Linked DNA regions of Schizosaccharomyces pombe. The gene in region 2 interacts genetically with the main gene of each other region. Each region holds a gene or a part of one and is shown on either strand. Other genes may lie near its edges.

Region 1 (16,780 bases), 440 kb from region 2:
TTTAACAAGGCGGAACAACGAGTTTTCCGATTTCATTAGTTGGTTTAAAGTTGTCGTAAACAAGTTAAACCATTATTGTTTGTGTCTTGGGTTCCATTAAAAAAGACACATAATTAGACTCGCATCATAATAAATAAGAGATTCGAATCTCAATGCATATTATCCAGATTATCCAACATCGCGAACCATTTTAAGCGATGCATTGGTTTGACAATTTTTGGTAATTGAAAGAATAAGTTAAGCATACATTCCATAAACTTATAAAGAAAGAGGATAATTAAAGAATGTTAGTGCTTATTTTTTAAAAAGCCGCAGCTTCTCTGCGTTGGTGATTGTCGTAAAGAGGTTTTCCAACTGGAGCGACAACTACAATAATAAAGCAATTAGACTTCGCTTTCGGCCTCCGTTTCTTCCAAGGGAATGTTATTATTATTATCGTTGGCACCTCTAAACGCATTTCCTATCCGCCCAATTGCATTTCCTATACCTTCTAATCGGGTAAGTAAAGAATCATTCATACAGTTGGTTGAATACACATACCTAGGAAAGAAGCTATACCATTCCTGATAAATTTGGGCATCCTTTTGAGAGCACCTGGACATTCTGATACGATTAGAATAAATTACAGGAATATTAAACAAACCCATTTCGTAAAAGAAAAAAAAATTGCCTATAACAAAGAGTGAAGTGGCTTCAATTTCGTAGCCTGTCGCGTCGATATGTTTATCAAATAAATACATCAAACCTTTCGTTACAATAACGACACAACTTTGTACACCCAGCACTTGAAACAAACCAGAAAACATATGCTTGAGTGTCCAGAATGGAAGACGAACTGCGTGTTAGCGGTCAGCATTGGTAACTCCATAACTTCACATACCATATAATAAAAATAAAAGTAAAGCAGCTGAAATACTGCATGTAGAACAGATGAGAGCCTTGTCTAAGTTCAGGTTACCGAATTTGATGCAACCAAAGAGTACAAAACAAATGACTACCCATAATAACCAGATTATTACTACCCATTTTTTCCTTGAGTTGTACAAGCCGACCGCAGTTACTTTAACTGCCTTGGTCCAAGTTTCATAGAAGTCTAATGAGTTAGTGACTGAAGGTAAGAATAACCCCATTGTCTCACTTACAAGTCAAGAATATTAAAGCCAAAGTGCAAACAAGACACCAAAATCCAAATAATGTCCATTCCGCTGCACCATAATTTTTAAAGAAAGCGTCCTTATACTTTAGATAACAAATTGCGAGTACATTCAGTACATAGATTGGTGTGAATGATATTAGCAGTTTTATCAAGAAAGGGGAAGAATTATCTGTCGACCTGGAAGGATTGTTTTCTCTATGTGTGTTAGGAGAATTGCTTACACGTGCGTGATCTGTTTAAATTAATATGATTGAAAGACTTTAGTAAAGAAAGAACATGTATTAAAATGTGTGCATTGCATGGCCAACTGTAAACAATGACCAAAGCATGCAATTTGACTACGATGGCAAGCTTCAATTTCAATTGAGTAATTCCTTTCTTATTATTTACAATTCTTACCCGAGTATGGAGGCAGTGCGCCCTCTTCCTCTGAATCATATTCTGGAAGTAGCCCTTTTTCCAAATCGATTTCATGTCCTGTCTTCGATTCATCTCCTTCATCTATAGGACTTTTCAAGGAAGTGTAATTATTCTTCATTTTTTCAAGATCATTCTTTATTTAATAAAATACATGCGCGAATTAATTGCTATAATTGCGACAAACGAAACAGCGAAATCAAGAATTTTCACTCTGGAGCCCAATTTCAGCCGTTCAACATAAAAAACGAGCAATTTCTTTCAAAGAAGACTTCTCTCTTTAATAATAGTAGGTAAAAGTTAAAATTCGAAAACTCATTTTCAAAATGCAATTGCTTCTGACACATTTATTTTGTCACTGCCCTTTTTATTTACCCTAACTTAGCTTTCCTTAAAACGTTTTTGAGAAGCAAACGTTGTAGTATAATTATAATGTCAGCTACGCAGTTTGGTATCTGGTTTAACGATATATAGCACTGCGGCGAGATTTCTAGGGATTTACAACATAGCGGTATGCGCTTTGTTAACTAATAATATTATATTTATTGTTATAAAAAGTCTAGTAGTATCGGTCACCGATATAGCCAATAACTGAACTGAGGAATGAGGTTCAGTGGTAGCTCTATTTATATTTTTCTCTAGTTGCTACCAATGTGTAACTTGTGTAGATAGATGGACAAACAGCTACAATCATCAATAAACTAATGTTATGTATATTTTAGCATGACATATAGTGCTACGCAACGTAGTATATCGTAGCGTGCTGGACTACTGCTGACACAGTATTTGAGTTGAAACATTTCTGCAAAGGTTACATAAATTAGTGTCATTTAGAGCTTAGGAATTCAAATTCGATGGTGTTAATGGCTTCTTGAAGCTTTTTTCATTCCTATATTTATTCACTATATCTTCCTTCTCGTTGTTTATGAGCAATAAGTAAAGAGCCGACTTTTGCTGGTTCTTAGATTAGTGAATATATGAACATTAGTGTTTCAATGCTTTACGCTCTATGCTACCATGGAAAAGATCGAACAAAATGGATTGTCGTGAGCGTTGCATACTAAATCTTGGCTGACAGAACTGTAGGTGCATATGTAGTAACGGTCGTGCTTGCAATTGTTCCATTCCAACAGTATTGATTAAAGCAAGAAGCACATTGACTTGGAGTCGACATGTTTTTGCGTTCCAAGGAACGTTGAACGAGAGCGCATGCAACGCAGACAGCAAATGAATCACTGTTATTTTGGGTAGCAGCAACAGCGGCATTTTCAATCATTCCACTGGACAAAGTATCTTCCAGTTGAACAGTGTAGGTAGTGACATTTGCATACATAGTCCAAGGATAGTTGGGGAAGTAAACTACAAGAGGAGGAGTATCGTCATTAACGGTATGGTTTCCGGCTGTGGTGTTTCTACCGTCGCAACCGAAGAAAGTTGGATGAGTGTTCAAACCAAGAGCCAAAAATGTGTTGGTATCAGGAATATATGGGAAACCACGAACGCCAGAGGAGTTAGTGGCTAAAACTCTTTCATATGTAGAAACTAGGGACGATCCATCTGGCCATCCACTCGTTGCGCTTTGATAACCCCCGTCAATCGCAAAAATAACATCTACGTCTCTTTGTGGATGAAGCAAGGGCCAAAAGGGAATACCTTCACTATCTGAGCCACCGTCTATTAATTCAATAATGGGATACGGCTCCAAGGGATTGGTAGTGGTTGTATTGGAAGCATTTCCATAACCTTGGTAAGGGTTGGGATAAAGACCTACATCCAATTGATCTTCGGCAAGCATTTCGAGGAAACTAAGGACAGCATTGTTAAAGGTATTATTACTAGCGGTGAGTGATGCATTTGTCGCAGGAAGGATACCGCTAAAAACATTTGAAGAGGTACCCATGAGGAAACCAGCGTTGTCGAAATTACGCACACAGGATTCATTAAGAGGAATGCCATTAATAAGGTGTGTACCTGTATACTCCATGGGTATAAATGATTCCACCCCAGTGTCCCAAGTACCAAATTCGATGGGTGTAAATTCAAAGACAGTGTCGTTCAAAGGGATTACGGTTTCACCCTCTATGACATTATCAGCAATGATGATGGGAAAGGGAAATTCACCATCCTGGAACCACGTTTCATTTGTTACACTAGAGAATGTAGTATTAGCACCTCCAGTCAAAGGATTGACAAGCTTAAGAGCCAAAGCACGGCCCCAAAGGTCAGTAATGGAGACATTGAATCCAGCATTCTTCTTTTGCAGAACTTGCTCAAACCACTCTTGGTAAATATAAAAGTTCTCAAAAGCGTCGTCATAGGGAGCGAAGAGACTGTGGTCCAGGTTCCAAACGTCGTCGTGCAAGAAAGTAATATTGGCAAAGTTGTTAACCGCAACAGATCCCACAAGCCAAGAGCCACCAGAAAGACCAGTAAGGTACATGGAAGATTGAAGAATACCACCAAGAGACGTAGTGTTACCATTTCTAGCATCAAATGCATTAATAGCGCCGGCTCCCGTTAACATGGCAGGAAATCCACCGCCAGAGATTGCAATTCCCAAACGAGGGCCATCTGTGTCATTCAGCACACTTTTTGTATCGATTTTTAAGCCGGTTTTTGAAATAAAGCTTTCCAATGCACTGTTAACCTTTGAGACACGTTTGTCAACAAATTCTTGTTCACCAGTACTAAGGCCATCGGAGGCAGGTCGAAGCAGAGAGCCACTAGGGCAAGCAACAGTATAAGGCGCATACGATGGGCTTGTGCTACGCTTGGAAAGGGGTATAGAGTTTGCTGGCTTATCAACGTTATCGGGTTTCAATAATCCGATTAGTTCTGGGTCTGAAACGTCTACTTCATCGATACGAGAAGGAAGGCCCAAGGCCGGCAAAAGCTGGAGAGCGAGAAATAATCCAAAGGAAGATAATTTCATGTTTAAAAAAAAATAAAATAAAAATTAAAAAAGCAAGGTTGGTTTAATAAAGGATAAAAGGATAGAATACGGTCAATGATTCGTTTTTAAAAAAAGTTCGAATTTTTCAATTTTCTCTGAATCCAAAAAAAGCAAGAGAGTGATTAACAAACAGCGAGTTTCTAAAGTCTGAATTTTTTGAAATTTTCTGAGAATGAAAAAAATCAAGACAATGAAAGTAATCAATTAAAGAGCTTTCAATTGTCAATTCCCAATCTAGTAAGTTCAACGAAAAATATTTAGATATCTAGAGAGTCCGTCGAGCTACAATGTCAATAAAAGCAAATTAAGCATTTGATGGAGCGGTTCGGCAAGCGATGAGCTTAAACTATATTTCCATCAGGACACCTAGTTTTGTCGAAAAGGTTGGGATGAGACAGGATTTCGACATATTTCCAAGAAAATAATATCATGTTCTTTTTTATGATTTAACCTATCTTTTTCCATTGAAATAAAAAAATCCCAATTCAAATTTTCAAGTTGGGATTTTGCTTACCCACCGTCCGTTTTAGGAATAGACAGACGTTTTTGCTCATTTCCTTGCCAAACACAAACCGGCCTTGCCAACTTTCTAGGCATTTGTAAATTGCTTGCTTACCTACACAGATCACACTAAAGAAGGATGAATCACTGATTGTTTGTTTTAACGGGATTTACCGATTCAATCACTAAAGTTGCAACCTTTATTCATTTATTCCCAAGTGCTATATATATAATATATATAGGCTTTTGAGGATGAACTCACTTGTAGACTCACTTTTCGCATGACCCACGTTTCTCATGATCTGCTTACCTTGATCCGCAATTCGGCGTGGACTAGAAGGAACTCCGAAGATGCCATCTATGATGTTAACGATTTTCTATATGTAGCACCGTGAGATTATGAAATGGTGGTCATATTACTAAGTCTTTAGATGCCAGTTGGAGTTGGATTGCCTAGTTATCATTAGCATTCATGGGTACCATTTATGCCCTATTCAATAAATATTTCAGCGATTCTATAATGGAATATTTAGATCAACCTAGGCTCAGCTTTAAATGACGGGATGAATATCAACGGCTAAATTTATAAACGGATACCAACCCGATTGCTGCGAACTCACGGATGTAAAATTGTCTGGTAATGCAAATCATCGACAAGTCCATGATGAAACGACTTTCTATTTTTTTTTTACTTCTATTAACGTCATTTAATGTCCAACTCTTCTAGGAAATCCCCAAATTCGAATATTCAATAAGGTAATGGGGTGCGATGTTTTTAGTTGATTCACATTGGAAATATTTCAATTCGAGATATGAAAAACCATTGATAGAAACAGATAGAGTAGAAGTTATTGCTTGATGCAACAAAATTTGAAGATTTGTTAATTTACAGATTTGCTATTCTACAAAGTCTCATCCCTACAAGCAGAAATGGATCTGAATAGCGATCGCTTTAGTTAGGTCATAAGATCGGCAGTCTAAACGTTGACCGCACATGGCTACATTGTAGCCTTTATATTCTTTCTTTCTATTCCAGTTATAAGCTGATACAGTAGATCTTGAATTTCATCAGTTTGTCAAAATATCTCTCTCGTTTTATCATACTTTACAAACCCAAAACACAAACATAAGAAACTGCACTGAACTAAATGCAAAGCTATAAGGTATTGTAACAAGCTCACAATGTGATATATAACCATTTCGACAGAGTTATTAAGAGATACATTATTTTACACTTTGTTTAAGAGTTCCCGTGTATCCAGACTGTATACCTCCTTTGCTTAGTTCCCGTGTCTAAGGAGCTATAACAAAGAGTTTTGTAAACCTAGATTATGCACTGGCTTGTACGTCTTAAATAAATTTAAAGAACTACTGAAGTGTCATCGGTATGTGATGAATCCTTAGCGTAGCAAAGGCAGTTGAGGTATTAAGGTCAACGAATACTGTATTATAGTAAGTTTCGCAATACAAGTTAAGCAACAACTCGTCCAAAATCACAAATACCAACTTAAGGAGTGATAAACTAGATATGCGTAATTGTGGAAATTTGTCGCACAGCTGAATACTCCCTAAGTGTAATATATAGTTAGCCAAATTAAATTAAACTAAATGGAAAACTCTGATAACTACTTGTGTTTGGTGTATAAAACTTCGAAGTTGCTTATCTCTTTACAATGCCTCTATAGATTTTTTGTTTATGGTCTTATAGCTGAGGCTACCTTTAAAGATGTGCGACCAAGAGCAACTTTGGTAAAAAATTTACTGAAGGATGAAGTTGTATGAGATTTCGTATTTAAAACAATTTATCTTCTTCATTGATTAAAATTATATGAAGCGCTTTTTTTTTTCAACTAGAAATCCCTAAAAGAAAATAGAAATAATATTCAAAGTGAAACTCTCTATTTACGAAATGGATACACTTAGATTTTTAAAACACATTCAAAAGTACTATTGAGAGGAAATGATTGTTTTTACCAGTGTATTCTTTAAATGTGTAGGATGATAATGGAGTTATCATTATTGTTATGTAAATTATTTGATAATATACCGGATATCGGTAATGAATTGAAATCTTGCGAATCTAAAAAATACAATGAGAAATGAATTCACATGAAATATTCAGAAGTAAAGTACTTCTAGGATCCTATCAAGCATGTATGAAGAATCACATATTAGCCAACTAAAGATTCGCGTATAACTTCTTCACTAATCAATTAATTTCAAATTTTTATTTCCCCAAAATAGCCAAAACCTATTAAATTCCCAATAAACAATTATAAAAAACCCATAAATTTTCCTTCTTTTAATTATTTTTACCACTTATTGGCCAGCAATAAGGGATTATCATTATCTGTTTGCACTGCACGATAGGATGTGTGAAGAAACTTGGGTGTCAGCGTAGGATCTTTGACCCATTGTTCTAACATATAGGATACTGCGGATTGATCTACAGACCTGGTACCGGGTTCATAGTACAGTTTCTCAACTTGTTGCATCCAATCTCTGGCTGAGACAATTCTTTCGACAGAGGGGAATGGAAGCTGACCGCCTCCATTGATACAACCACCTGGACATGCCATGACTTCTACATAGTCATAACGTGAAGGCTCTTCTGTAGGATTTTGAGCATTGCTTCTTACTCGTTTTTTTAATAAAACCCGGCCTTTTCGAACCGAGGAATTTCCATGTACGCGGCGTACCAAATTTTGAATGTTTCGGAATCCATAGCACGTTGCCATAGATATTAACTGTTCATTCGTTTCGGGGTGTCGTAAAGTATACTCAGTCAAATCGCCATTTTTGTTATTCATTGATACATAAGGTCCAACATCGTCAATACCAAAAAGCATTTTAGCAGCGTATGATAAAACATAGCCCATGTAACCTCCTGAACTAGAACCTATCTGTTCTTCATATGTTATTCGAGGATACCAAAAAGGGATTGCATCTGTAGACTGCTGAAACGGTATGGGGTTTTTAGTTAACTCAATTGGATCAATTCGTAAAAATTTAAACATTTCTACCAATTCCTTTGGCGTCAACACAGAATCTACGTCTCGAACACCGTTCTCTGAAAATTCATCACGACTGGCCTCAAGCTTCTTGTCAAAGCAAGGCATGAGACTCAAATGCCAAACATCATTACGTTGCATACTGAATTGTTGTACGGCCCAATCCTTCAAAATACGACCGCACGCCTGCTGAGGTGAACGAACACGAGACAAATTAGGGATCAAGTTAGAGTGAGTTTTCTCAACGTAACATATCCACCCTGGACAAGATGAAGACAAAATGGGAAGAACAGCATTCTCGTTAATGCCCGAATTTGATGAAGTATTAGAATGAACCCCTGAAATTTGTGAAGTTGAATGAGGAATGAGTGGATGTTCGTTTACGACGGAATTGGTAACCTGGTTTTGATTTTTATGAGCACGGCTTTGTAACCAAGAATTGCAAAACTCTTGAGCGCATTGTTGCAACACAATTTCACGAGAAGCATTAGTATCTAAAATAGCATGAAACCCAAGTTTTCCAATGAACACCATTTCTAACACTGCCTGTATTTCCTGTAAGGAGAGACCATAATAAGCTGCAAGATTCGCCCTCACTTGTGGACTAAGCGAGACATATAAAATTTCTTGAGATTTTCGAGATTCCAAATGCTTTAAAACTTCTTGGTAGGATTGAAGATTAACCAGAACTGTTTCTGCAGATGTAATACACCCACTGCAGGCCAAACAATCGTTCAGTGAAATACTAGCAATCCCAAGTTCGGAGGTCTCTCCAGTATCCTTAGTTACTTCATAGTAAGCATCCCCGTCTATACGAATGTCATTCTATCATGTTAGTTGGTTGAACAAAAAAAATAGAGATGTGACAGATGTTATACTTGCTGCTCTTCCAATGCATCTTACCTTGGATTCCTGCTTTTTAACTTGGGCAGGCTTTATGCAAACAGCTCCAGGACTTAAGAAGTCATTCAAGTCATTTACAGACAACTTTGCCATTCTGCCATAAAATTACAATGCTTGCTAAAAGTAAAACCCAGCATTTGTCATTGGCACAAGAAATTCTTTATTTTAGTAATATTATTTGCCACACTGTGGTGCACTATCCTTTTTATGAGACCTGAAAAAAATAAATGAAGTATGGAATAGTGAAACATGGTTTACTGCCTTATTCGTTTGCATTCTCAGTACCCGAAAATCATCAATATATATATATATATGTATAAAAAAGAAGATACTTTATTATAGTATTGTATTTATCAAACAGTTTGAGCTTGTTATTTCCGAATGATATATTTTATTTGTAGATTTAAATAAGTAAAAAAAAACTAAAGAAATGAGGGTAAACAAAACGAGATCCGTATAAAGTAAAACAACGGTTATGGTAAATTAGTATACAAATATTTTCATAATGTTCTTCACGTGTGAAAACTTATAAAAAATGCAAATGTCCATGAATAAACAGCGGGTTCAAGTTAAGGAATGCAACGCACTGAAATAAATACTTAAAGAAGGATAAAAATGCCACATTGGTCAAAAGAAAAAATAGTTAATTTTTTAAAGAATGTGCATGGGAAGTTATAAAATGAAAGGAAAGAAACAGTATATGAAGCTGATCTGGCATTTAGTATGTAAGATTCAATTCAAGAGTGCCAAACATCTAACTTTCGTAGACAGCTTTCAATGTTCTCACAAGTAATGGGTTTCAACAAAACTCCATCAGATTGTAAATCAGTCGGAATGCAAGTCTCGTCCTCGCAAATGTATACAAACGGCACCCTTGAATTTATAGTAGCACTGGTTCGCACTGAATACATTAATCGGGAAGAAGATACTTTATCATTTCCAAAATGTAAGAATACGACGTTAAATTGCTCGTTCTGCAAAAGCTTCTTAAGAATGCTCCATGGATCATCTATTAGAACAAGCGTTAACTTTGGAAAAATTTTTTTCAAGATCTCCGCAAGTTCAATTTCATCCTTAGGAATTATCATTTGTAAACGGTCAAGCTGAAATAACCCTGGATAAGAAATGGCATTTCGCTTATGAGTTAAACTCTGAGCTTGTAAGTTGTCAATCCTGCCCTTCTGAATTGTAGTATGTTCATCTGATGAGGTACCCTCTGTAACGTCTGGTAACGCCGTGTGCATGCTTGATTGCGATTGTGATGCTGACATAGTGCTTGAAACACCCTTATGATCTTCTAACGCTAAATTATCAAAAAATGAAAGCATCCGACCTTCTTTCAGAGAATCAAAATCATCAATTGAATCAATTGAATCTGTAGTAATATCTTGCACTCTTGTCGTGGTGGATGCCTCATAGTCAGCCATTGAAGCTCGACGCGAAGACTTAACAGGACCTACACTTTGAGAAGTTGAAAGTTTGGCTTTAAACCTACTCATGTACTGACTAAAGGTGTCATCAACAGAAGTCTTTGCTGATTTAACAGCCATATGCTCCTTTCTAAGTTTTTGAATAGTATTCCGGTTAGCTTTATTAAGAAAATCCAAGTTTCGATATGTAAAACTTCCAAATTCAGGAGTACTAATCGTATTGCTTCGTAAACGACCTTTACGATTACCAGACACATGCTGGGGTATAGAGGATGCAGGTCTTTCTTCTTCCAATTTTTGTGCTTCTGTCACCGTAGGTTGATTGTAATATTCACTGAAATCAAATCCTTTAAGTCCCCTAGAATCAAAATACACAGTGTCTTCAGGAGAAAAAGGTTTTGGTACAAATGGAGGGTCCTCTTCTAAGATAGTATCCCAGTTAACAGACTTGAAAAAAGGATGTGCTTTTATCTCCTCTACTCCGTTGGCACCAAGCCTATTTGCCGGATTCATACATAGAAGGCGATCAATCAAATCCAAAGCAACACTACTTTCAGCAGTAAAAACTTCGGCAGGCCAATTGATGCGCCTAGCAAGAATATTTTGAAAGACTTGGTCAGGCGTTTCCGCGTTAAACGGGGGGTATCCAAATAAAAACTCAAAAACAACGCAACCCAAGGACCACCAATCACTCGCTTTAATACCAGGATTTCCAAGGATAACTTCGGGTGCTATATAATCAGGTGTACCAATAAATCGCTTAGAGGGATCTTTATTTTCAAAAAACGGTTGAACTCGAGGCGAATCTGTGCTACGGAAAATGTTGGATTCGTCTACCTGAGAAGTAGGAGTATTTGTTGCAGTGGGAGAATCCTCAGCGCTGTTCTCGTAATTGAAACTTTGTCCAGCAAGTCGAATACTAGTACCATCTAAAGAAAGAAGCTTTTCATTTAATGAAGGCCGTTTGGGACGCTCTGGTGTTATCAAAGACTGTGCTTCTAGTACCGATGAAGCAGTACTAAGTGATAAATCAGATATAGCACTAGAGCGATCTCTCAAGTCAAGTACAGGAATTGAAGAACTCTGTTTTCTCCTGTGTCTTTTCATATAACCGACCCGACTCAAACCGAAATCTGTGAGCTTTAAATGTCCGTTCTGTGATATGAGTAGGTTTTCAGGTTTGATATCACGATGAATTATTCCACGATCATGAAGATCACCTAGACAAAGAACAGTTTCAGCTATATAAGTTCGAATCCAATCCAAATCTAATACACCCATGGTTTTCAGAAGTGAACCACAGTCTCCGCCGTTAAGATATTCCATAACTAAATAAAGGTAGTCTTTTGATTGAAAGGTGTAATACAACTTGGCAACAAATGGTGATTCGCCTTGAGACATGAGAATAGCACGTTCAGCTCTAACATTGATAACTTGATTCTTTGCTATCATATTCGATTTTTTTAATATTTTAATAGCAAAATAATCACCAGTAGTTCTTTTCTGAGCCAGATACACAGAGCCAAACGCACCTTTGCTAATCGGCTTCAATATTTTGTAGTCATTGATAGAAGGATGCTCAGGGGCAGAGTTGGGTACAATCGTATGTATACGAGGTGATGGTGATGGTAGACGTAGTCCCACATCTCCAAGGTTGCTGGCCCTTCCACGAGAAAACAAAGACGAACGACCGTTAGATGCTGGGCGATTCGGACCATCAGAAGCCACAAATCTTGGACTCGAATTTGGAGAAAGATACTTTAAATCATCAAAACGAGGATCGGAGAAATTGGAATCAGATGCTTTTCTTCTATGTAACGGAGAAGAATAATTTGAACTATCTTGACTCATAGGCGAACCAATTGCAAAATCTGGATTACTAAGAGAAACATGGCTAAGATGCCTTGAATAAGAAGAGGATCTTGAAAGATCATTGATATCAAGGCTTCTATCAGATTGTGGTGTATTTGTAGCGCTCCCGGGTCGAGTAATGCATTCCTCTGCCTCGAGTGCATCGCAGGCATCAGGAAAGGTAATTGAAGGCGCTAATTTAGATTCCAAGTGTCCTAAAGAAGTAGAGGAATGATTTGTTACCAAATTCGATACGACATCATCAATAATTTCTTGAACATGATGGTCAATTTCCAAACGAATACGTTCAGAGTAATAGATTGCATTTCGAAGACGCAAAACTCCAGTAATTTTAGTATCAACTGCTGTCTTTATGTCCTCCCAGAGAGCAATCACTGCGGATGAGCAATTTTCTAAGGACGGGTTATAATTATCAAGCTCGATAGTAGCTTTTTCTGACCGCGGAGACTGAACACGAAGAGAATCCACTTTATCAAAATTCACAATGATTTTCACTGGAGGAATAGTAATGTCGATAGCCACTTCCAAGTAGTACATAACCTGACTTAAGAATGAACATAGTGATAATGTTTGTTTATTCTCATCGGTAAAAAAATAATCATCCGCATCAACAATAAGCGGTTCATTTTTGTATACGGGAACAAGACTTGAATCTTTCTGCATTCCTTCCTGAATTTCCAGTAAGGTACTCCGGAAATAAAGCAAGGAATCCTGAGCAGCCTGTACAACAGATTCATAGGTGCTTGTGCTAAGACAAAACTTGGAGTGCAACTCGAAAAACCATGATTGTATTTCACGTTCACATATTTGGCAAAACTCTGGGGTCGGAAGTGGTAACGCATCTAAGCTGTTATGCTTGTGATAGGAAGTCCTTAAGTCGCATAAATATTTGTCTAAAAGACTGGCACCGAAACCGATGACATCCAATAATTTAGTTACAAGAGGAGATACACTACCAAGGGAATTGGTAGCTGGGTTCACAACCCACATCGTGTGTGCGGGAATTGCGGACCCAGGATGACGAATGAGAATTCCAATAGCATCAAAAGGTTTTGTAATTTTTTCATCGCTTGGAAGATCTCCTTTAGCGGTGTAATAGTTTTGATTGGCATGATTAGCGTTAATTGAATGTTGGAACCGAACATGATAGCTATGAGAGTCATCCTTCAAAAGACAGTTAACGGCTCTCATAAACGCATTGTATCCATCGGTACCAAGGACTTCTGCTACAGAATGCCCAATGATCTTGTCTTTGGGTATATCCAAAAGTTCGGATGAGTTATCGCTAATAAATTGAAAGTTTCCGGAAAAGTCAAGCTCGAATGCAACGGGAGATAAAGGAATGGAAGGTTGAAGGTTCTCATCTTTTGAGCTGAGAAGCTCTGCCTGGGAATGTTGAGCTTGGTCATCTTCCAAGAAGACTTCTTCGCGTTCGTTTTTTATATGCTTCATATACAACTGACGGAGTCTCCAGCATACAGTAAATTCAATAGAGGGATAGGATCATTAGAAGTATGAGCAGTAAGTATGCTAATTCGACAACTTTTTATATAAAACAAATAAACGCGCTATAAATAACTGAGTCACTGAAAAAACAAAGGAAAGAAAAACGAAGAGTATGAAATACCCAGCTGGATAATTCTAAAACAAACAAAAACAATTCTTTTAATAATGATAGAATTTCCACTCAGTATCTATACAATCAAGCTAGAAAAAAAGAACGATTTTTAGTACTTGGTGGTGGTTAGGAGTTAAGTGGCTTACAACTTAGTATTAGTATTGTGGTTCATTAGTCTGGCCGCATAATTCGTCAACAAATAAAAAATTTTTTCTCTGCTTCAGAACATAAAGTTATGCTTGTACAGCATGTATAATACTAGATAAGTATTCGGGGCGAAGATTTCATAGCAATGAAATGAATTAGGGTGGAGTGCTGTAAAGTAGCCAAGTTGAATCGACAATGTGAAGTAAAATAAACAATTTAAGAACAATTGTTTTAGCTGCTGGATTATAAATAGACAGTATGATGCCTATGGAATTTATAGATGTATGGGCACAAAAAATGGGTAAATACATGGGGTAAACATCAACATTTATAAAAAAAAAATGGTTGCAAAATTAGCACGCAAACGTTTAAAGATATCACTTTGTTTGAAAGAGGATCAATTGCTATGCAGAAGCGTGTTAGATTGGCTGCGCTTTTTTTTTATTATGTCTAGAAAACACAGACTTATAAATAATACCATCATCGCTTGGGAAGTACAGAAAAGTATAATAGAAGAATTTCAACTTGTGGGAATACATAAGCTATTTAAAAGGAAATATTTTGCGATTGCAGCTGATCTCTATATCATTGATTTTTCAATCGAGTGAAAGCAGACGGACTTGTCTTGAGTTTTTAAAAAATAAAAATAAAAAAGCACAGTAGTTACAATTAAAAATAATTATTAATTGGAATATGATATTTCCGTTTTTTAGGAATCGCTTGATCTCTTGTTTACAAAAGTAAATGATATGTTGTTTATTTTTTATTCAGTTTGTGTTACTCTTTTAAAAAGTCTAATATAACAAGATATATGAATTTGGACTTCCTATTATTTTACTTCTTTTTTTTTTTTTTGAAAGTTTCTAAATTTTTCAGAGAACAGAAATCTTAAACTATTTCCTTGCTCATTCAGAGGTGTAAACAAAGAATACGGAAAGCGGTCCATTCTCCCGCAAAGTTATATAAAAAAAAATGGAGCAAGCAGTATACAAAAAATCACATAATTAAATTTATTTATTAAGGAATGTTTTCTCATCAATGAATGTTTCCTTTTGCCTACCTTTTTCGATTTCTGCACCTTTTTAACATTTTAACATAAGGAGTGGTAGTGTAGAAACCATAAACCTAATTAGCGTACTTTCGCTTATTTTAACTTAGCCTTCACATCTTATACTTTTTAACGTATACTAGTCAAAAAATATTTTAACGAGTGTCCCTTAAATGTCGGTATAGACCTAGGTGAAATAAATATTACATATATTATTTACGAACTGGTACTCCCCTCTTACAGCATTCCGTGTAGCGGATAATTGATATTTACGACATGGATACAGCATCTCCAGAAGAGATAGATGCTTTAAAAAGACACTATTTGAAGAAGGAACTTTTCTCTCTTTTGATCGCAGACGAATTGAACTTCGTGAGCGAACCCACCAATTTGGATCATCTCGGTAGTCCATTTGTGGAAAAAGGAAAATCCGTGATCCCCTATGAAAAATCCCAAATTCCCGTTTTACGCTTCATCTTTAAAAGATTTATTTTAACGTTTCCGTTTTTGGATCCTGATAGCCAAAACCAACTTTGGAATGTGAACTTCCGCAATGTACGTAATAATGGATGGAAATGTTTTAAAAGTATGCGGATTGTTACTAACCAGATATTCTTTGTTAGCTATTAAAATCTCTCTCAAAAAGCAATGTCTCTGTTCTCCCGGATGATTCCGATGCTACGCATTTGCACAAATGGTTGCTCAAGTTCCAAAACATGCTTACTCTACTCATGAGTCGAGCATTTCATAGTATCCAGGATGAAAAGAACATTAACATTGAATTGCTAGATACCCCAAAATTGGAGAAGGACTTACATAAATCTGAACTCCAACAAAAACCAAATATTTTGGAAGCTTATGTTTTGGGTGTCAGACAGTCAACGCAGGCAAAGATGTTGCGTACAAAGCGAGTATATGTAAGTTCTTTGCAGTTCTAAAAAAGGAAACGAATCTAATTGTTTTAATAATCACATTTTTCGATTACCGTTTTTACGAAAATTTGCTTTTGCTTCTTCATAAGCCGCTAACGAATATTCCAGGAATACTTGATTAAAGTGTCTTATGAAGAAAATACTTTTTTCATAGCTAGAAAATATTCCGACTTTTCTCATTTCCATCATTTGTTGCTGAAATCGTATCCGAACGCCTATGTCCCTCGTCTTCCTCCCAAAGATGACCATGACACATATTTGAATTCTTCTGAAGACTCAACGTTGAGTCCTTTACCTTCACGTTCCTCTGATACGAACGATCCACAATCAGATTCCCAACATGTTCTTCGTCAGGAGCGTATGCGAATTGAATTGAGGCAATATATAAAGAACATTCTGAATGATGATGAACTTCACTTAACTGAAGAAGTCTTAAGCTTTTTAACCGACGATCCCGTAACTTTAACTGCATCGGAGCTGACTGACATTAACTTTCGCCAAGAGTTAGATGTCATCCGTCAACTTGAGCAACAAAAGTTTGTTGAAATTGCTTCCCAAAGAGCAAAAGAGCTTGATGTTTATATGGAGGAGTTTAAACGTTCCTTGACTGAAAATAGTATGTAATTGTGAGACAAGGATAACAAAAAAATAATTATTGCGTTTTTATTTTTTTAAGTGACTAACACTTTTTAGATGGTTTCACCACTTTATTCACTGAACTGAAAGAAAAAAACAGTATAAGTGAACTTTCCCCTTCTTTACAAAAAACAATTGAATGGGCTAGAGTCAATC
Region 2 (15,682 bases):
CAGCAACGGAGAGTTGTGCAACGCCGTTGGAAACAGCACCGCTATAAGAAGTGTAGCTAGAGGAGCTAGAGTTACCGGCGGCAGAGCTGGAAGCACTAGTGGTAGAAGTGGAAAATCCGCTAATAGTGGAGTTGGAGCTAGCACTTACGGTCTTGGCATCGGCAGAAGAGATGGATCCACTGGAGCTGGCAGAAGAGGAGCTAACAGAGGAAGAAGCGGAAGAAGAGATGCTTGAGGTGATGCTAGAGGAGATAGGGGTAGAAGAGCTGCTAGAGGAAGAAGAAGAGGTAGTAGAGCTAGAAGAGGGGGTGGCAGTGCTAGAGCTAGTGGAGGAAGCAGAGGTAGAAGAGTAAATACCACCGCTAATGGTGCTAGCAGCCAAAGTGGAATCACTACCTTCAAAGTCGAATTGCTCAGATTGAGCCAAACTACCTTGGTTTTGAGAAGTAGCTCCGTTGAAGTAAATTTGCCATCCGTCAGTGGGGAGATCAGAAGAGATGGAGATGTCGGTATCCAAAGATCCAGCGGAGGATTGGACAGTTCCGAGATTAAAGTTTTGGTTGGGATAATGAGCATTGTTCACCAACATAATAACCATCTCCTCGGGATCAGTGCTGACAGAAGACCAGGTGACGGTGTTCACTTGGCCGGATTGCCAGGTGGTGTCACGAGTAGGAGAAGTGACAGAGACGGCATAAGCAGCAAGTGCATTAGCAAGAAAGAATAAAGTGGTACCGACACGAGCAAGCATTTTCACGATTACTTAAAAGAAATGAGAAAGAAAAGATGAAAATTAATGAAATTAATTTGTTTATATTAAATGAAATAAAAAGAAAGATGTTTAAATGAAAACCGCTCGCTCAATTAAACAGCAAAAGCTTGTACAAAGAACGATACAAGTACTTAGTGTATGGTTAAAACTGAACCTCCCATGGAGCAGCCTTCCATATATATACTGGAAAACTGTCTCTTCACGTCATGGCAATTTTTGGAGGAGGCTGAGAAGGGTAACCGTTACCACACCGACCAACCCCCTCAATGGTAACGGATAATATTTTTAGATGCGGGCAGTGAGAAAGTAAACACACCACCAAAATGTAAACAAACAAAGACGCGTATACCACAACAAAATGCGTACCTTAGTAATAGGAATAAATCTTTTTCAATAATTAAACAGAGGTACTTTGTTACATGTTTTTTATTACGATTTCCCAATTATAGGATGCATCTGGCTCGTGTCTTTGTATTATGGGAGTGTATATGTCTTTCTGGCCAACTATCGGACTGTGTGACTTTATTTACGAAGTAGTGAAATCACAGTTTCAGCCATCTTCATCAAGCATTCTTCATTCAATTAGCTTACTTTTTACTAAATCTTATCCCATCTGCCCTTCCCGCCCGCCCTATGTCGTCAATTCTACTCTTGTCTTCCATATACTCACTGTCAAAAAGTCATAATCGCGCATATGGAGGTGGCTGGCAGATGAGGTTATGTCGAGCAAAACAGGGAAACATACATCAATTCCAAACCGATTCGGTCAGCTAGCCAGCAATGGAAATAAGCGGAATAGGAAATAATCCGCAATGATCCCGTTTTCAAAAAATTGAATGCGTATTCCAGTTCGGATGCAATGCGTCTGAAAACTTTCATTCAGTTCTTCCACCTCCCGACCATATGGCAAAACCAATACCGACGATGACTAAAGAATAGTAAAAAACGACCAGCCAACCTACCAAAAAAGACAGACGATTTGCAATTCAAGCTTCTTTCCATTTTTTTACTCTTTTGTGATTTGCATTTTCTTATACCGAGAGTATTAGCAACACATAATTGCCTTTACCGCACACTTCATTATTAACAATTCCTTTAACGTGACACAAGAAACTGCGTAGTAAGATTTATTGCTTGTCTCAGTATATAGTTAAAAATCAGGTTAAATAGCTTATTAATGCGTTTTGCCTGATTTCATATCACCTTTTGCCTGGGAATTCACATCCAATCGTGACCTTTTTTTTTACCAACATTTCGTCTAATGACATGATTGCTGCCTTGCTCAGCAACCTGCTTGGGCCAACGAAGTTACCTGTTTCCACCTAGTTTCGTAAATGAGCTAGCTGTAAAAGACAAGCGATAATGAGGCGGATACTTAATTGGTCTTATTCATCATCAACAGGTGTGCTAGCACTCAAATAAAACTTTTCTAAAAGGGCACATGTCTTAGTCCATAAATACTTTTACTTTCCCTTTTTCTCTTTGTAAATAAGATAGCCCATTAAAACTCGCTAAATCCCATTATTTTGCATCCTAATGAATGGCTCGTTAAGTTTATCGTCACGTTCGTCTTATGATCCCACTCTAATATGTTGCAATTAATAAATAACAGAATACGTTACAGAGCGCTAATAGATGAAATGCTAGTGTAAACAGATGAAGAAAATCCACCTTTCCATCTCATCAAATAGTTTGCTTTGTTTCTAACAGCTGTGTTCTCTTCAGCAGCTAATGTAAATGTTTTAATTCTCTTGTACCGATATTTTTAAAGCGTATATACCCACTCTCATCGAAAAACATTCACATGTTGCTGTGCTACTGCTTAAGTCTCTTCGCTCACTACTCTAACATTGCTCTATCATATTGAAAAGCACGTCAATATTATTACGATTATGTGGCACAAAGAAAGTAGTTTCATTTGTTATTTCCTTTTTTAAATTCGAAACAATGCATCAAAAGTTCATAATTCATTAAAGTTGAATCAATTAGGCATACATGGCTCCGTCATAATATGGAACTGGAGTTTCAGATGAACCAGTGTTAACATCTTCTTCCGGTAAACCAGCGAAAAGAGAAGGATCGCCAAGGGCCATACGCTTTGAGGTATACATTTGGGCAACAATACCTGCTGCAACAGAAATGGATTGTTCCACCCATTCTGTTACCCATTCATTTGGTAATATGGCGTTAGAACCGAAAAGCTTAATGTATCGAGGGTCCACAGCCCATCGTTGCCATTCAAGCGGCAAAGGTTGAGAAGTGGTAGAAAACTCCAAGTTATGATTAGTATCGTTAAGGTGAATAAGAAAGCATAGTTGCTCATCATCCGAAACTTCTTTATTTTTGATAGTAAATGCTTGGATTACGAGAAGTAAGTGAGTTACTCGAACCATAGGAGATTCTGAAGCGTCTTCATCATCACCAGCTCCAACATTTTCTTGCTTGTTTTCTTTGTTCATCTTTTTAGCCTCCGTAATAGGTTCAGCTAAATTGGCTTTTGCAAGTTTTTTCGCTTCCAAATAACCATTACATAGACCAAAGTCTTCATAGACATCGTTCGTTCGGGGTCGAACCTTAGCTTCCTTATCCAATAACACCGTTAATTCACCTCCTTCTACTTGGAACATCACCTGGTAACATGTCAGTAAAATTATCCCATAAAACTTAATTATGATTATGCATTGACCTATCTGTCTTTTGAAAACCAAGTAATCGGTGACAGCATAAAAGAAAGCACAAATATTAGTGCTATGTCCAAAGCGTAAACGTAAATACGCAACTTACTTTTTCAAAGCTTTCATACACTATACGGTCCAGGTGTGCAAATCCTGCTAGATCATGAAATACCGTCACCTGCAAAACTTCATGATCATGAATAGGAGGTGCCACCACGTTCAGAACGTTGTGAATTGTATTGCTTAATGTGGGAAGGGCCTTACTCCTTATTCCATTGCTCAAATCTCCTAAAAGACATTTGTTAGCAAAAGGAACTCTTTCTTCCAAAAGAGAAATTCTACTTACCAAGCTTGTTCAAGTCCACCATATTACGCACGTTAATATCCCAGTTGGCATTCTCTTCAAACCCTTTTATGGAGCGAACTCGTTGTTCAGCTGATCGAACAGCAGCGGACGCAGTGGACCAAAACCCACCAAGCCAGTTGCTCTGTTTGGGTGTTTCTACATGTTCTTGGAACTCCTGGGACTTGTTGATTTCGTTAACCGTTTTTGGAGTAGCGGATTCTGTATTTTTATTTATAGTTGTCTGAGCCGCTTGAGACGGTTGATTTGATGCATCATGTTGCTGACGTTCATTCGAGGTAGCTGCGACAGATTCATTTTCCTCGTTGGCCTCTTCTATAGGATTTTTCTCATTCTTTTCTTCGTCATTCTCAAGCTGATCTAAAAATTCCAGCAGTTCTTTTTCGTCCTGCACTTCAGATGGGGCACCAATTTTGGAGTCGTCGTTGTTGAACTCTTTGGAAGTGGGATCTGCTTCCATGCCAAGTTGATCCAATGATGCCATTAATGTTTCGACATCATCAGTTTGCTCTTTGGTCTCTGCCATACTGTTTAGCAGGAATATCACACGGTCTTGTCTAGTTGATGAGTTTCGTAGGCTGAAAAAGCCACATTAAGGACTCCTATAATATAACGGTAAAAATCCTCGTTAAGAAAATTTTATGCAATTATTATTATATTATTACATTATGAAAGAATTTAATAATTTCGTTTTAAAAGTAAAGTCGTGAACTAAGGTATGTGAATTTTAAAAAAGTTTATCTAAAAAATAACATAAAAAGTTTACTGTACCATGTTTGTTCTTATGATTCTCTCACCAATATTGATCGAACGACATTCTGCGAGTCAATTATGCAACAGTGGTCTTGATCGTGCAACTGATGCGTGAATTTTATAGGCATAATGCTTACGAGAAACGAGAAAGCAACAGATATTTATTATCCGTGCGCTGTAACTTACCTACACATTGTTTAAAAAAAGCAATAGCTTAAACAATGGTCAGCAACTTCCTATCCGTTTTGGCCAAATAATACACGCCGTCCAACGAACATTATTTAATACATTTATTTATCATCAATTTCACTTCAACATCATCGACAAAACACTACAGAACCTTCATGCCTAAACTATTGGAATATATACAGGATCAAGCGAATATTGCACAAAATTCTATCTACTCAAATCAAAACGACTAGCAGTCATTGATAGATTCTTTAAAAACAACGTGACAAAGAGCAAATGGCTTTTTTTGGCACACACTGACAAAAAAATGCGTAAATCATTAATGGTATTATCTAACAGCATTAAACGTCCTTGTCATTAAAAGACAGGCCTGGTAATATTTCAATCTCTTCTTTCAAGCTAAAAAGAATCAAGAGATCGCGGTTACACAGTACGTAAATAAGTACAATATCGAAACTTTTGGGAAGCCATGTCATATGCAAAGTTGAAAATAACCATATTCCAATTTCACCCCTTGAAAATTTTAATTTAAACAACGGTTTCATTAAAAGAATGCATAACTAGTTTCCATCTTTTTGAACATCTCAGTCCTAAGAATAGTTGTTGAGCATCATATAATTCGTATGGTTCTATCATAAAGAAAATTTAAGGTAACAATAAATTGAAAGTATTGGAATAAATCCCAACTATTAGAACATATTCGTCACTGAGTAAGCGTCAATTGATTAACAGAGTGGATAGTTTTAAAAAGATTGAAGATAAATTTTAAGGTAAATAACTCATAAATAGTAAACATTCAAAACAGGAAGAATACAACAAAGTAGTAGTGTCGAAAAATCAGCATTACTGAATCGCATTTAAAAGCAACTGATTTGGATAAAAAAGAAAAGTAATCGAAGTTAGACGTCTGTGTTACACTTTTTGTCGATGTCGACGATTATACAAAGTTGCCTTTGACAAGTTGAGTTGGAAACCTTTGAACTTATTCCGCGACCTTTGAGATGATTGTTGTTGCGATTGAGCAGGTTGGCGGGAAGCAAGGCTAGGATCGTTTTCACCTGACAGGTTGACTCGTTTCATCGAATGTTCAACGCTCTTGGTACCATCATCGTAATCATCATTCTCCTCCATCAAATCATCCATGTCACCCATAAAATTCATGATTCCTTGGTTACCACGTTGACCACGTTTCCTAATCTTCTCTTGTTCCATTCGGTGGGCTGCATACGAAATATTAAATACTTCTCTCAACGAGTTAACACCAGGAGTACGAGCGGCTGAACCGGCAGCAGCAACGTCTTCGGGCTCAAGAAAGTCATAGGTAAATGGGTTTTCGCGTTGAGCAGTGTTAGGAGCATCGGTGGCAGGAAAGGTAGGTTCCCGAGAGCCCGAAATCCATGGATGGGCTAAAAATTGATGAATGTCGTAACGAGATTCCGGGTCGACAGTTAATAAATGACTGATTAAATCCTTTGCACTCTTTGAAATATCATCCCACCAAGGAGAAAGGAATGAATACTCGCCTCGTGAGACTTTTTTCGTCAACAAAGAAATGCTTTCATCATAAAACGGGGGGAATCCACAAAGAATAGTGTACAATACGCATCCCAAAGCCCACATATCAACTCCCTTAGAATACCTTTCATCACGGACAATCTCAGGGGCTGTATAGCCCATAGTGCCACACGGAGTTTGAGTGTGAGAGTCCCAAACCACTTTGCTTAGACCGAAATCTGCGAGACGGATTCGACCGATGGTGCCAGCGCCGACACCGGGAATAAACTCGCCCTCGTCTACCTTATCGGGATCGTCTCCGGCACGGTATTTACGAACCCGAGAGGGCACAAAGTCGATAGAATCAAAAAGCAGGTTTTCAGGTTTGATATCACGATGAACGACACCGCAGTCTTCATGCAGATATCGAATGGCATGTGCAACTTGAGTTATGACATGACGAGACAAATCTTCGGAAAAATAGGTGAGGCGAACGATTTGATGAAATAATTCACCACCGTCAGCCAGCTCTAAAACCAGGTAATAGTATTCCGGGGTTTGGATGAATTCCAAGAGTTGAATGATGTTAGGATGTTTAACGCGACGCATGATTTGAACCTCTTTTAAAATGTTGTGCGATTCAACGCCTTGTCTTTTTCTGGGATCGCGAGGATCGGTGTTTGGTTGAGCGCGCTGGACAACTTTAATGGCGACTTTTTCACCCGTTCTGTTGTGAATAGCTTTGTATACATTACTAAAAGCACCATCGCCCATCTTTTGTAATAGAGTGTATTGTTCAAGGCCTTTATATACAGGAAATTGTTGGCCGGAATGTTCCTCAACAATGGCCTTTGCAACTAAAGCCTCGATGGCTTTATCATATTCTTTTTCGTTGGTAGGTTGTTTACATTTGGAGCGCGAATATTCGGAAGGATTCTCGTGCACCGTCTCGTGGAAATGTGCATGCCGGGACTTGGGTTTCGAGGTGGGATTTTGAGTGGAGTCCGCTACTTGCTGAGTTATGCCAAAATTTTCTTCAGCATCCGAAAATATGCCAGCAGTATAGCCATGGTCCCGTTCAGCATAGGAATCGGGATTCACTTCGCGAACGTTCACCTTGCCCTCGTCCTCGATATTTTGCTGAATACTCTAAATAAATTAAATTAGCATAACAAAAAACAAAAAAAAAGTAAAAGGGAAATGTGTTTATGGATAAAGGTGGTTGGAAGAAAACAAAACCAAAACACATTGTATGCGTAAAAGAAGTGCGGTGAGATTGATGTTTCCTACTGAGAAGAGGGATGGAATGGAAAGGATGGGAGTATAATCAATAGGCATGGTTATGGTTATGCTTTTGGTAATTCAAACATACTTTAAAACGCATTATTTGAACAGACGGCGACAAACGGAATCAATCAAGAGATATGGGTATTATTAGAAAAATAACTAATTAAAGATCTCTAGTCGTTTGGTTTTACGTCTGGAAATGTGCCAACACATTTGCTTCCAAATTCTTGACACTGATCTATCCGCATCCGTACTCTTGAACTAAACCAAGATAACAGAGAGACAAGATGATAGAAAAAAGAAAAAAAAAAGAAAAAAAAAAGGAATTTCGCACAAAAAGAATGAAAAAAAAGATACACTTGCGCATCCGCCAAATTTAACTTAACGACTTGAAAGCGAAACCCGTCACCTGAATGATGTAGAGAATGAAGTCAAGCATACAATCACCGCCTAGCAGAAGGGGAAGGAGACGTGATATAGAATAAGGTAAAGATGAAATCAAAACTGATCATCAAGGAAAGAGCAAATCTCCGTATGAAAGCACCTGACGTAGAAGAAAAAAAAAATCCAAAAAAAAGTCCAAAAAACTAGTCACAGACTTGGAAAGAAAATAAAAATGAAATAAAAACACAAAAGAAAAAAATCGCTTCTTGCTTTTCTTTTTTTTTTATTAGAATTCAGTAATCTTCCAAGACTCGATATTGTCCAACCGTCCTAATTCATTCGTCCACTTATCTCTCCTAAGATCCCTATCCCCAACCCAGTCCAAAGGTAGGAAGTGTAACGTCAACAACACTCTCCAAACGCAAAGTCTTTCCGATACTCATCTCCAGCCTCTAATATCCGCGTTTACATCCACAATCCAAACAAAAATCCGACTCAAACATTACCCACACGAACGAGTGAGCAAACATTTACAAACGTACATTTTTAAGAATCATATAACTTTCCAATACTGGGTACCCTTCCAATAGTCTCCAAAAAATTACTAAATTAGCTTTTCAATTGATTTTCACAGAAATATATTGTTGGTGTCCAACAATCGTGGTATGCGAAAGACAAGAAGTTTATGTCGGCGGATTTGCCTACTTTGACGTCCTTCGTTAACGTACGTCATTGGCATCATGCGAGCCGCTCGTTCCAACTCTGTATTCGCTTACGATGGTGGTGACGTTGCGCATCCATGACTCGATGAGGTTTTGCGGTAAGCGACACGGTGCAATGGCGAGGTAAAAGTGTAAAGTGGGTGGAGGTCAGCATGACATCAGAGACAAAATAGGAGGATATTGGTGTAGGAAGGGAAGAGAAGAGGATATCGTTTATAAAGAGGTTGTTGGAGGAATGCTAGGGGGGGAGAGAGAGAGAGAGAAAGAAAAAAAAAGATAGAAGTATGGATGGCATGGATGTGTTCTATCTTGTTTTCGATTGTATACTATGAAAGATGGATAGAAAGAATTTATTCGAGATCTAATATTTTTTCAATCTCACTCATCCATCCTCTTGCAAACCTTTTTTTCTTTTTCATTCACCCATGAATTTCATCTGATACAGCAAATCAACCAATCTTTCCTTCCTCCCCTCCATTGCTCATTTCACTTTTGAGTGGCTTCTGCACTGTTTGGCGAAATAAATTTCCATGTTATTCCATTTTGAGTTGATTAGTTGAGTGATTTTCTTCTGTCGTGAAAATTTTCAACAAACTTTATCTGTCTATCTCATTATCCTTGTTGATGCAGCGATCCATCTCATTTCTGTTACTTGCAATTGATTTCTTATAATTAGCAAAATTTTCATAAGCCGACTGGCTGGCTTCATTACATATCCATCATCTTGGTGTACAATGAGATCGACGCAATTGACCTGATAAAAACGCTGGATGAAAAATCGCCCATTCCTCATTGTTGAATGAATGAGATGAGATGATGTTTTGGCTGTTGTCGCCTGACTTCAAGATCTAAAATTCATTTGAAAAATCAAAAGTTCTTCTTATAGGGCACGGCAATTGCGCCCTTTCCATACAATGCAAGCCCTTAAGTATAGAGATGGCGAGCTTGTTTATCATCATGGATAAACGCTTCGCCGTCTTTGCCTCAAGTGACAAGCCAAATAATTGTAGTAGAAAGAACATGTTTTTTTTAAAAAATATCATTGTACTGTCGAATTACCTTTACCTTTTGTATAAGGCATGGATTGTTTGTACTACCATATCTCTTTGCTGCGATTTTCCTCTGTTCAATTTTCTCTTTATAGCGATTCCATACTTTACTGAGATTCTCTACAATGATTCCTCTTTACTATGGTTTCTTTTCGTATCACTGTGTTTTATTACGTTATCATTCCAATCTTTGGAAATATAGCTGACAGCTTGCACAGGCTGAGGAATCGCTTCTTCAATAGTCATAATGAATATAAAGTTAATGTTGATTTTACCTGAATATGTTTATATAAGAAAGGCCTACCTAAGAATGAACAGTTCTCTTATTACTGTATTCATGTTTATACTTATAATTTGGATATACTGGCTAAGACGATATTGGCGGATAGGAAAGGCAGAGTCGTATTAGAATAAGTGAAAAAAGCGTGCGACAGCTAAAGAAATCGCATAGGAAATTTTTTAGAAGGGTTTTTAAAGGTAAGTTTTGTTCCTTCTGAACCGCAGTTCAACCAAATTTCCCATCCATCATGTTAGCTTGAATTGGGATTTTAATCAGTATAACAAAAATCGTAGCAACTGGCTTAATTTAGATATACAAATTAACACCAACTTTTTTATCATGAAATATGATGTTGTTTTTACTGCTTCTTTTTTCCTATAGCATGGATTGAAACTGTTCTAACAACGCTGGGTTGACCGTCGATAAATATTGGTTTTGAAAATTCTCCATTCCACCATTAGCGTCTCTGCAAAACATAAATACAGAAATAAAAAATGAGCGAGAGTTAACACTATGAACGGGATCCTTTAAAAGCAGCTAAAATAAAAGTTAGTATTAATAAAACAAAAGCAAACAAATAAAACTTTTTCATTTACACAATAAACATATTTCTAGCCTCTCATTCACTTACCTGCTTTCGTCGAGTCATTTCTTCTGAGGTTTCATCGAGATAAAACCCAACAGCCGAGTAGTCATCATTTTTATAGTAAATCGTTGCATCTCCATTCGCATCCTCTTCCACCTCACTCAAAACGCTGAACCATAAATTCATGATAGAATCCAACACTGCCAAAACGTCGGGATGATTTGTTCGCAGCAGAGAGCTGAGGGCGAGTGTGTTCAGTTTTCGATCTTTCGAGTGGTTTATGTGGTCGTTTAATAAAATCCAGTTGCCGATAAGCATAGCTATGTTGATATTTTTCGTTTGACAAACCTTCAATATTAATTCCGGCTCGCGCAATGAGATGCGTGACACCACCAATAAATATTCAATCAACACCTGAGGGTGTTTATCATTTGTTGCAATGGAGAGTAGGAGCCTCGACAGAAGTGAACTGTTCAGCAATGATTCGTAAATCATATCCATCGGAGTAGTTTCAATGAGTAGACATACAGTTTTACATAGTGCTTGCAAAGTTTCGTTTTTTACATCGTCTAATAAGTCGTTCAACTTTTCAAATATGGTAAATGAGTAATCCTTCATCAAAACGGTATTGTCTAAAAGTTGATAACTGCTTACTATCATTAGAACGAATGGAAGGGTAGACGTGGCCTGTGAAAGATGGTACAATAAATGAGGGATAAGTAGGGTAAAAGTTTCTGGCAATTTTTGTATGTACATGAGAAAGGTGCTCCACAATTCCATTGCATCCGCTTCGAAAATAACATGCTCTGGAGATTCCGGATTTACACAATATTCTATTACCGTATATAAAAAAGTTGAAAATTCAAAAGATTTTGCTTTGATCGCCTAGAAATTAGTATAAGAAAACAGTCTGTTGTATATAGCCAAACACTTACATTGACGAATTGGTGCATAACTGCCAAAACTCGTGCTCGCAGCAGCGGTTCCTTTTTCCAACCATCCCATAATTGAGAAAGGAGAGAAGCAATGGTACTTTCCATGGGAGCAACATGTTCTCCGGCCCTTGCCAATAAAGTACCAAGTAAAGACAAGATGGAAGTCCTAGCATCGACTGATTCAAACGCTTTAAACAAAGAAAGAACATGGACAAACAAATTTTCTTTGATAGAAAGAAATGAATTCTCAGAAAAATTCCAATCATCTAAAACGGTTTTGAAAGCATCTATAGTTGTTAAAATGACTACGGCGTCATTGCAAGGATCTGTTAAGTTGAGAAATGAGCAATACAATTTGTAAATAACCTCAAGGAGTTGTTCTGAAGAAGAATCTTCAATCCATTGCGATAAAAAAATGGCAATTCTTCGTCGATACACTCTAGATATCCCAATATCATTAATGGAAGCCATGTTGGGAACTGCGGCTTCCTGTAGCCATTTTGCAAAAGGAAAAATACTCTTCAATTGGGTATATCCAACTCCGAAAGAACTGATCAAAGTGTCTTGTTGAACTGCTTGTGTTAACGTCTTTGGACACTCAAAAACGCTGTAAATCATATCCTTGAACGGCGAAACGATAATATCTCCATATGCATCAAAGAAGCATTTTAAAAGTTTTTCGGCACAAGGCTATATTATCGTTAATGATAAGCTTATCAAAAAACCCATATTCATAATCAACTTACCCTAACGTTAAACTCAACATCCTGGGTCGATTGTTCAAGGACCCATTGTTGTGGGGAATCCGTCCATTCTTCAAAATCTTCTTCTTTTAATATTAGTAGTTTGGTGATGAGTAAATCCAAAAGATTGTTTATACGATTATCTACGAGAAATGAGTTGTAAAGAACTTGAGCCGTTTCGGGGTGCGACGATTTAGTATTGCAGAATTCTTGGATGACAAGGATAAATACTCGTAAGCTCATAATCACAAGTTTTTCAAAATTTTTTGAGCTCTCTTCAAACTTTTCTTTGTATGAAGAAAGATGAGAACTGATTTGACCCAAAAAATCATAGTGCAATGAAATGTAATCAATAGTAGCTGGAAACTTAGTCAAGCATGGACTATAGAAAGAAAAATCAAAGAATGGCTTATTGAATAAGAAAGCATGTGCAAAAGCCATTTCTAAGCACTCCCCAACTACTATCGGAGACCGCGAGGATTGAAGCATTGTACCAAGCATACTCAAAAGTTTTCGCTGATGAACAGCACAAAAAGCTAACATACGCTCACTAAATTCACTTTCACTAGGATTTTGGAAACCAAAAACAACCAACCGTCTACATGCCTTAAGCGTGTATCGAGATATTTGCATATAAGACAACAAAGTAGAATCTTTAATTTCCTTAGAAGATTCAAGTATCATCATCCAGCTTGATAAACTAGAATGTAAAATGGGTTGAAGAATCGTAAGCAATTCTGGAGCAAGTTTGTAAAAAATCTGTCGCGATCTCAAAAGACGATTCCCAGCCATTGCTTTGATAATGTGATGAAGAGTAATTAGTAATCTTAAAGCCACATCGTAATCTCCTGTACCCAATGACTGCTGTAACTTGCCTAAAAGATCGTGAAAAAGAGAAGGCCATTCGGTGGGATAATCCAATCTAGCAATTCGAGAGACGACCAGCGCATTTTGAATAGATAAGAGGTTTTCAGATTTTATAGATCCTAAAAGAGCATTACATCGTATAAAGTCACGTTCTTCTGGAAGTAAAGACCTGCCAAACAATCATACATTAGCAATTACGAAAGTCTAACAGTACAGGTTGATTCTTCGAGACTACTCCTAACTTACATTTTTGTATTTTTCCTCCATATTATATCTATGGAGTTCCGTAGTTGAATGATAGCAATCCATCGTAAACTCATGTCATTTTGTTTATCCAAAAATATACTGTACAGCTTGCCAAAGAAACCTGGTTCCTTTTTCCAGTTGTTTAAATGCCCTTCAGCATCCTTAACAGCAATGGGATCTTGACTTACAGCACGTTGTAGTTGATATACTACAGGATCTACTTGCATTCTCCAAAAAAGTCTGAGACTTGGTTTTTGCTTGAGCAAGGCTGTACCAGTCGCACTCAGTATATGTGAGCCAAAGGAAGGAATTATAGGAAACACTTAGAAAGCGCTTCGATTTCGGAAATGGTGAAATAATTTTCAAATTAAAAACGTTGCGTTCAGTTTTTTTGGTATTTTAGTATCAGAAGATTTTGGGTTTTTTGGTTACCCTTCGGAGGTCGAGCTGCGATTCAAAATTCGAACTTTTAACTCTGTTCGTAATTGAAGAAATAGAAAGATCACAAAGACTAATACTTCTATTATTGCTCATTTTTCTTTCTATAGACAACTAATTCATATTACAATAAATGATAATGTAATATTGCCTTCTTTCTGTTATCTGTTAACAAACGTATCTTATTAAAGAGGGAATGACCAAGATTTGTGGAATTCTCTCTCGTTTATGCCTAAACCTTATGAAATTACAAATAAATGAATAACATTTTTTTACTATTTTATTTAAAATAAACCAAAATCAATAATCGTAACAGTTATTGTATTATTTACATTCCCAAGCTAAGGGACGCTGTCTCTTTTATAATAACTTATCATTGGCAATGATCCTTTCAAACATTCTTGGTAATTTTATGAGCACAAAAATAATAATTATTTACTTTTCAAAGCCCTCTCTCCAAAACTCCTATTCAACAATAAACTGTTTTCTTTTGTGAATTTACAAATTGCGTTGCTCAACGAAAATAAATGTAGTGATACATAATGATATCGATAAAGTAGCATAACGCGCTGCACCCATATCCACACATGTTGCTACTCATCGTATTGCTGTATGATCGCTTTTCCTATTCCTTCCTTTATAAAACTGTGATTAATCTGTTTTAACTATTTTATACTTAATATTTTTATTTACTCAGTAGCATAACTCATATTGCTAAAGCTGAGATCGTTGTACTCGTTGGTTTTATCTAGGCTTCTAATATATTGAGCGTTGTTTTCGTTTAAAGAATTCGTTTGTACATTGTCCTAAATTCCTTCAATTAATTTTAAATATGAAACTTCGTTTGGACCCTTCCACTCAATCTAATTATCATGATGTCTCAATCAGTAAGCTCGATTGGCACGCTCGAATTGACTTTGACCAAGAGCTGCTCCATGGTAAAGTATCCTTTGTGATTCAATCTGCTAGGGTGTCCCAAGCCCTGTCCCATATTATCCTTGACACTTCTTACCTCGAAATCAAGAATGTAACGATTAATGACATCCCTACTCCTTTCCGTGTTGATAAGCGGCGCGGATTTTTGGGTTCAGCTTTGCATATCGTTCCCGCTGATGAAATCCCTTCCTCAAAATCCTGTATACTTACAATCTTATATTCCACTACTAAGGATTGTACAGCACTTCAGTTTTTGAAGCCTGAACAAACGATAGGTGGTAAATTTCCTTATGTTTTTTCGGAATGTCAAGCCATTCATGCACGTTCATTCATTCCCTGTCAAGATACTCCTTCTGTTAAAGTTCCGTGTACTTTTAAGATCCGGTCCAAACTTCCCGTAATCGCATCGGGTATCCCATGTGGAACAGCTAATTTCTGCAATGGCTCTTTGGAATACCTGTTTGAGCAAAAAAATCCAATCCCTAGTTATTTATTTTGCATTCTCAGTGGTGATTTGGCCTCCACAAATATAGGTCCACGTTCTTCTGTATACACAGAGCCTGGCAACTTGTTAGCTTGCAAATACGAATTTGAACATGACATGGAAAACTTTATGGAAGCCGCCGAGCAACTAACACTTCCTTATTGCTGGACACGGTATGATTTTGTCATCCTTCCGCCTTCCTTCCCATACGGAGGTATGGAGAACCCTAATGCTACGTTTGCTACGCCGACACTTATTGCCGGAGATCGCTCCAATGTTAACGTTATTGCTCATGAATTAGCCCATTCTTGGAGCGGTAATTTAGTTACTAATGAGTCATGGCAATGCTTTTGGTTGAATGAAGGTATGACTGTTTTCTTGGAACGCAAAATTTTAGGCCGTCTTTATGGTGAGCCGACTCGCCAATTTGAAGCCATTATTGGCTGGGGTGAATTAGAAGAATCGGTTAAATTGTTGG

Evidence for each region.
Region 1: mutations in mug150 (region 2) and plb5 together harm fitness more than expected from each alone (negative genetic interaction), as found in Schizosaccharomyces pombe (one large-scale study listed by BioGRID).

The regions. Positions count from the first base shown.
Region 1 is NC_003421.2:1,738,955-1,755,734, forward strand, and holds plb5 (phospholipase Plb5), read right to left. Parts: upstream 4,506-16,780; coding exon 2,634-4,505; 3' UTR 2,248-2,633; downstream 1-2,247. Other genes in the region: wtf antidote-like meiotic drive suppressor Wtf16, read right to left, coding at 384-490, 541-603, 644-835, 881-1,093, 1,143-1,388, 1,556-1,694; nar1 (iron hydrogenase), read right to left, coding at 7,340-8,863, 8,942-9,034; serine/threonine protein kinase Cek1, read right to left, coding at 9,679-13,695; SPOM_SPCC1450.12 (uncharacterized protein), read left to right, coding at 15,333-15,611, 15,680-15,973, 16,097-16,604, 16,682-16,780.
Region 2 is NC_003421.2:1,294,849-1,310,530, reverse strand, and holds mug150 (protein mug150), read left to right. Parts: upstream 1-9,576; coding exon 9,577-9,891; 3' UTR 9,892-10,344; coding exon of another isoform or gene 10,345-10,506; 3' UTR 10,507-10,600; downstream 10,601-15,682. Other genes in the region: conserved fungal cell surface protein, Kre9/Knh1 family, Knh2, read right to left, coding at 1-751; SPOM_SPCC1322.09 (uncharacterized protein), read right to left, coding at 2,758-3,402, 3,557-3,735, 3,794-4,337; MAPK-activated protein kinase Srk1, read right to left, coding at 5,666-7,396, 7,620-7,631; karyopherin/importin beta family nuclear import signal receptor Kap113, read right to left, coding at 10,345-10,506, 10,601-11,440, 11,491-12,180, 12,237-13,269, 13,347-13,573; aminopeptidase Lap2, read left to right, coding at 14,617-15,682. UniProt on the Schizosaccharomyces pombe protein: Has a role in meiosis.